2 linked regions of the Cricetulus griseus genome follow. The protein of the gene in region 1 interacts with the protein of each later gene in a pairwise test. Links are inferred from orthologs where the notes say so. Each region holds a gene or a part of one and is shown in the gene's direction. Other genes may lie near its edges.

Evidence for each region.
Region 2: the proteins of Wt1 (region 1) and pre-mRNA-splicing regulator WTAP interact in binary tests that used the Homo sapiens proteins (3 or more experiments, as listed by UniProt). The link is inferred for Cricetulus griseus from reciprocal best matches to the Homo sapiens genes WT1 and WTAP.

What each region holds. Positions count from the first base shown.
Region 1 is NC_048599.1:72,540,136-72,544,636, reverse strand, and holds the start of Wt1 (Wilms tumor protein), read left to right. Parts: upstream 1-1,683; coding exon 1,684-2,122; intron 2,123-4,501. UniProt on the Homo sapiens protein: Transcription factor that plays an important role in cellular development and cell survival. Recognizes and binds to the DNA sequence 5'-GCG(T/G)GGGCG-3'. Regulates the expression of numerous target genes, including EPO.
Region 2 is NC_048595.1:288,094,245-288,096,983, forward strand, and holds part of pre-mRNA-splicing regulator WTAP, read left to right. Parts: intron 1-1,454; coding exon 1,455-1,609; intron 1,610-2,739. UniProt on the Homo sapiens protein: Associated component of the WMM complex, a complex that mediates N6-methyladenosine (m6A) methylation of RNAs, a modification that plays a role in the efficiency of mRNA splicing and RNA processing.

The sequences.
Region 1 (4,501 bases):
CACCCGGAGTCTGCCCTGCGCTCTGAAACCCACTTCATTCAGCTACCCGCAGACTTCTCCTTGCACACAGGTTGCCCCCCACCCCACCCCATAGATCCCACTGCTTTAGAAGTCTTAAACCAACCCAAACTCACCCCCAAACACCTGTTCTGAGGCGAGGGAGTCCCGAACAACTAGAAGGTGGAAGGAGGAGTTGTTTTTGGGAAGCCATTCTCTGGGAACTCTCCCAGCTCTGCGAACACTCCTGTAGCCACCGGCCAATGGAGCTGCTCCCCGACCCATTTCTTGGTTATCCTAACTGGTTTGCAACCCCCAATCAATCACCACAGGTCCATAATGGGTCCTTCCATCTCTAGAGGAAGCATTGCTTGGCAACATAGCTTTCTGGGCCACACTCTTCCTGCTGATTTCGTAGCCACAGCCTCTCCATTCCCCGTCCTTTCAACCTGGCGCTAGAACATTCCCATCAGTATCAAACCAGGTTCCGGGCATTTCTGCTAAGAGGACCGCCCACAAAACAAACAACCACCACCAACAACAAAAGCCAGCTGCAATTTCCTCCAGTTAATATAGATCTATTAGATACTTCTTGCTGCAAAGGGCCAGTAAGTGTCGTCTATGCTGATTTTAGGTAGGCAGCAACAGCTTCCTGGGTTCCAGCCTCACCAAAGAATCAATTACCAGACAACTGAAATCGTCTCGCGTGTCACAACTGACGTCACACTTCACAATTACCATGCGGAACAATTTCACCTTGAATCTCAACCTTTTGACCTCCTAAAGTAACCCCCCGAGGTTAGGCTCTGGGGTTCTGGACATGGGAAGGCTCAAAGTTAGTCTATTCTCCTCAGAACCCAGGAGAATTCTCTGGGCTCTCTGGTTCCCGCCCTCTTGGAGCCCACCCGCCCCTCTCTCCACCCCACCCTCCACCCCACCCTCTGATTAACAACCCGGACTCTACTCCCACCTCGATCTGGCGCGCTGAGGGGCTCACACTACTTACCTAGAGGGCCTTGCCTAAAGGCGCCTACACTCGGGAAGGCCAGCTGGGAAGGCAAGGGGAGGTTTGCTATACAGGCCAGCTGAGAGCACGTGGTGGACCAGAGAGGAGGGTGTCTCTGAGTTGAACGCTCCCTCGGGCCCGCCCCACACCCCTGCTACGAGTACCCCGAACGAGTGGTGCGAGCTGCCGGGGCAGGCAAGAGCTGGTGTGTGAATGGAACGGCCGCGCATCCTGGCTCCTCCTCCTTCCCCCGTTGCCGGCCCCTCTTATTTGAGCTTTGGGAAGCTGGGGGCAGCCAGGCAGCTGGGGTAAGGAGTTCAAGGCAGCGCCCACACCCGGGGGCTCTCCGCAACCGAATTGCCTGCCTGCTCCCCCTTTCCCTTTCCCGCCCTTCCTCCCACCCACTCATTCACCCACCCACCCAGAGCGAGGACGGCAGCCCAGGAACCCGGGCCGGCCGCCTCCTCGCCGCGATCCTGGACTTCCTCCTGTCGCAGGAGCCGGCTTCCACGTGTGTCCCAGAGTCGGCATCTCAGCACACCCTCTGCCGTGAGCCCGGGTGTCTTCAGCAACAGGAGCAGCCGGGGGATCGAGGCACCCGCAGCACCTGGGCCAAGTCCAGTGCCGAGAGTCCACAGGATCGCAGGAGCGGAGGGCCGTCCGGGTCCGAACCGCAGCTGATGGGTTCCGACGTGCGGGACCTGAACGCTCTCCTGCCCGCCGTGTCGTCGCTGGGCAGTGGCGGCGGCTGCGGGCTCCCCGTGAGCGGCGCGGCTCAGTGGGCGCCGGTGCTGGACTTCGCGCCTCCGGGCGCCTCGGCTTACGGGTCGCTGGGCGGTCCCGCTCCTCCGCCCGCTCCGCCGCCGCCTCCGCCGCCACCCCACTCCTTCATCAAACAGGAGCCCAGCTGGGGTGGCACCGAGCCGCACGAAGAGCAATGTCTGAGCGCCTTCACCTTGCACTTCTCTGGCCAATTCACCGGTACAGCTGGGGCCTGTCGCTACGGACCCTTCGGTCCTCCCCCGCCCAGCCAGGCGTCCTCGGGCCAGGCCAGGATGTTCCCCAATGCGCCCTACCTGCCCAGCTGCCTGGAGAGCCAGCCCACTATCCGCAATCAAGGTAAGGAGTCCGGACAACCGGCACACCACATGCGGCTGTGGCTTGGCTTCCTCGTCCAACGCGGTTTCTCCTCTCTGTTCCTTCCAGATCCCAGCTCTCACCCAGCTGCTTTCCCAAAGAGTATGAAAGGAGCGGGTGTGTGGGCAGGGGAGAGTGGGCTCCGTGAAGTGCTAAGGCACACACACACACACACACACACACACACACACACACACACACACACACACACACACACACACACACACAGCTGAACAAGACCCCAGAGTCCGATAGTTCGCAGGACCCGGGAGGACATTTGGGGTCCCAGGATCCCTGAGAGACTCTGGGACTCCACGGGAAGTAGAAGGGGGCATTGGTTGTAGCGGGTGGCTCTATATTGGGGAAATGTCTGATGCCCCACCGAATTACCACCAGGCTTCGGCCCTGTTAGATTTCAAGGGTAGAAGGACTTAGAGGACTCAGGAGTCGGGTCAGCATTTAGGGACCCCCTGTAATGCCTCTGACAGAACCAAACCCCAAGAACCTCTAGCTCTCCCCAGGAGCTGGCTTACTTCAGGCCCACCAGAAGCAGAAGGGAGCTTCAGAATGCGGGCTTGACACTTAGGGGACCGTGTAGGGGTTTGAGCATAGTTTGTGGAAAAGGTAGTACTGTGGGGATCGCTCCAGGCCACGCAAAGTCGCAGGCTACGCAGGCGCAGGCGGCGGGAATGGAAGACAGCCTGGCTTCCATAAGAAACCAAATCCGTGGAGGGAGTCTGGGAAAAGTGACCTTCTTTCAGCGCTCCTCGGATGCTTCCTAGTCACCCGGAGGTTAGGCTGGGGAAAGGTTCGTAAGGTGTGGATGTTGGAACAAGAACAAGTGTATTGGGGGATCTTCAGCCAATGTACAAGGGACCTTGTATGAAATAAGTATATTTTCTAACTCTCTCAGTCCCCCTCCATACACCTATCCGTCGTTGGCACCCTGGCAGAACCATGGTTGCTGAGCCACTGTAGTTTTCTTCTTTTGTTCTCATTTGATTTCTTTGCTGTTGAGAATCTAATTTGGTTTGATTCGATGTTTTGGGAAAATACTTACTAACACAAAGGCGATGCTTTTCTTGAATCAAAAATTCTGCTGTCCTAGGTCTGGGTGTTTCTGAAATGTGTGGGAAGGGGGACGCCGGGCCGGTACTGTTTGCTGCGGGAGGTGAGGAAGCGTTCTGGGGCCTTCTGAACCCATCCAGCAGCCCCTCGACCACCCGACGCTCTAGTGAAACCGAAACCACTGAAGAATGGGAGCTGCTGGTCTCAAGGAGCAACCTGGAGAGGACTCAGAGTATCCCTCCCCTCTAGGTCTCTCATAAATTAGTGTTTTGTACAAGAGATGTTGGAAGAATTTGCTGCCTTTGCAGAGGCTCTTGGACCGCGCCATCACTTTCTAGTAGGCAGGTGTTACTGCTGGCAAACCTCCGGGTCAGTTTGCTGATCTCATAAGAGGAGAGCTGAGATGGGTTAGGCCGAAAGTTACAGGCCAAACACGAGAAACCTGACCAGTCTCTAAATACAGAACATACAGCTCACCTGAACCTCCCTGGGTCAGAAACCACGCCACTGTCAGGCATGTGTATGACTTCAGTGAGCATGCCTGTTTTTTGGAGAGACTCACTGACCTATAACCCTCAGGGAAGCAAATACTAATATACCACCATCCTTTTGAGTCCTTCTAGGCTCACAGGGGCTTTGTTATTGTGTGTGTGTGTGTGTGTGTGTGTGTGTGTGTGTGTGTGTGTGTGTGTGTGCTTAGCATGGGGGGGGCATGCTTAGCATTCTGCACTGCAAGTCTGGTAGAAGCCGGTAGGAGAAGGTGGGTGGGACTGAGAATTTAAAGCCCGAGGACATTACCATTACACTTGCAGGGGGGGGGGGCGTGTTCCAGATTCTTCTGGAGTAGACAGGTAGGACTGCTACTGAAGAAAGAGCTTCCCGAGGAGCTGAGGACCAGGACCAACCTGTGACACCTTCCCACCACGCTCTGCTCTTCTCATGCCACAAAGGAAAAGGCCGGTGGGGAGGTGTCTTCAGGGTAGGGTCATACCATGGAAGCAGGTTCCTGTCAGGGAACTTACCCTTTTCTCTCCTAGTTAAAGCAAGTGGGTTGTACAGGTACAGTCTGGGAATTGTGAAGCTGCTGCCCCCCCCCCCACCAACTCCAGGTAGCAACTAGGGCAGACTCTTGAGCTCCCAAATCCTTTGAATATCCATTCCTTTTACTTCTGGAGTTCCTGTAGGTCAGTTCAATAATTCAGGATTTAGTTTGGGGTTTTGATTGGGAGATGCCAGCTGTCCCTGGAAAGTGTGAGAATGGCCACCATCATGCTTTACTCTGATTCCACTGTG
Region 2 (2,739 bases), on another chromosome or scaffold:
TTCGTTTGAACAATAGGAACCTGGTTTTTAATGTTGCACAAATACATGTAAAAAATTCTAATTACAATTTTTTGTTGTTGAACTGTATTATAACATAAGCTATAACCCTGCAGCATCCCCAGTAGGAGAGTTCTCAACACAGTGTTATTGGAACTCTAGTGTCTGCTAGGATCAGATGGACTATGTGTATCTGGCAAGTGCAAATCCCCCAACTAGGAAGAATGTAACAGTACAGAAGTGTTCTTATGCAGTGAGAACATTCTGGTGTTAACCCAGTGAGAAGAATGTAAAATTGTTCATATGTACATCTCAAAGTCAGTATTGCAAATTGAAGCCAAATACCTTTAAAGTTATAATTTCTGCTGTTATTGCCAAGGCTAAAAGCAGTGAAGTTTTACTGGATTGTTGCTTCAGTTTTATTACTCTGTTGGTTCTCTTGTATTGCATCGGCCCTATTATTTGAAAATTAAAGTGTTCAAAAGTATGGTGCGGGGCTGGAGACATGACTCAGCACTTAAAGAGCACTGGCTGCTCTCCCAGAGTTCAATTCCCAGCAACCACATGGTGGCTCACAACCATCTGTAATGAGATCTGGTGCCCTCTTCTGGCCTGCAGGCATATATGCAGGCAGAACACTGTAAACATATATATATATATATTTTTTTTTTTAAGTGTGGTGCTCCTAATCTGACAGATAATTTGAGGTTTGGAAAATAATCCTGGATCTTTGTGATTTGGGATTATACAGTCTTTAATCACATGCCAGTATTAAAATGCTCATCAGGCATAGTGTCTCACTCCTGTAATCCTAGTACTTAAGAGGTAGGAGGATTGTAATTTCAGTTATCCTCTACTCTCTACTATATAAAAACAACAACAAAAATTATGTTCCAGTTAAGTTAAATCAAGAATTAATGGATTTCTATTTGGCAAGTCCTTTAAAAGCTATATTCTTATATAGATGATACCCGTACCAGAGAGCTACCTATTAAAAGGAATCCCTTATGTGTGTTTGTTAGTAAGAATATGTTCTCATTCCTTTACAGGTATTTTATGGGTGGTAAAGAGGCATACATTTGTAATTGGTACTCTACATACTTTTAAAGAACCTTTGTTTGATAAAGAGTAGTACCTTCATGTTACATTAACAGTATTTCCAAGATATGTGTGAAATGGCCTGCTTATACTTCAAATAATGATTTAGGATGAAAACATTGATACAGCAGAAACAAAAAGTGGCTCTTTGGCCCTTTTTGTTTAAGGTTTATTTTTGCTGCTCTATTGGTAAATACCGAAGTGCAGAAGATGGACATGTTCCAGAAAAGAAGATGGTAATTACAGGGTGGCATCTGCTGTGACATAGTTATGTTCTGTACATGTGCTGTAATGGTTGTGAGCAAAGGCTATAGAGAGCTTTGTCTTCATTTTGTGATGATTGGCTCTTTCCTTTGCAGCCAAACAGGCAAAAAGTTAATGGCGAAGTGTCGAATGCTTATCCAGGAGAACCAGGAGCTTGGAAGGCAGCTGTCCCAGGGCCGTATTGCACAGCTTGAAGCAGAGTTGGCTTTACAGAAGAAATATAGTGAGGAGCTTAAAAGCAGTCAGGATGGTAAGGGGGTTTGTTGTTTAAAGTTTGCCTGTCTTTGCATTGGCTTTAAAGGCTACCAGGCTTGCCATACATCAGTGTCTGTGCATGTGCTGGCTACTGAGAATCGTGCATGCAACACCTACCATTGACGTGTAAAGCAAAGCCACTTAATTGATGTTAGAGTGTTCCCCAACGTACTAATAGATATTGGGAACTTTAGAAAATGTGAATCTTGGAAACACTTTGATATTTCTGTGCTCAGAAAGTAACGTAGTTATATTTCCTTGAGGTCCTATCAATAAAAAAGGAGATTCGGTATTTAAATTTGCTAAGACAAACCAAATGTAATTGTTACCATAGTCCTGTTTTTATTCAAGTGTAGCTGCATTTTTTTTTCTTGTGACGTGGATTAATAGTAAAAAATGGGACCATACTGTGAACATACAAACTGGGAATCAGTATATTGGTTGGTTGGTTGCAAAGCAGGTTGGTGGGTAATACTGTCGCTTTTCACTTTTACTATTTGTAAACATGGTAAGTGGGAGATGGTAAGTAGCAACTAAAAGGCTGTTTTTCTCAAAGTCTTTTCAGAAAGTTAATGGACTTGTATACTTTAGCAATCCATCCCCAGGTATTTTTTATATAATTGTCTTCTTGTGTGTGGAACAGACCTCTTTGGGGGGGGTTAAAGAACCAATATTATCCTGAGGGCTGGACCTGCTGTAGATTTAATTTAAGGCACTGGCTGAGGGTGAAGAGTAGGGACTCTCGGGTCAGCACAGTTAAGATTTTACATGGCTGTTGTCAATTATATGAGGCAGGAAGGTTGGCAATTAACTTGGTTACTTTAATATATTTAAAGCATCCAGCTACCCTCCAAACTCATTCTTGAATAGTGATTAAAATTATTAGAATTCCAGGTAAATTGATTTTGGTTTTTTGGAGACAGGGTTTCTCTGTGGCTTTGGAGGCTGTCCTGGAACTAGCTCTTGTAGACCAGGCTGGTCTCGCCTCTGCCTCTGCCTCTGCCTCTGCCTCTGCCTCTGCCTCCTGAGTGCTGGGACTAAAGGGACTAAAGGTGTGCGCCACCAATGCCCAGCCTCAGGTAAATTCCAATTTTAGAACAACATTTATTGACTACTTAGCTTTGT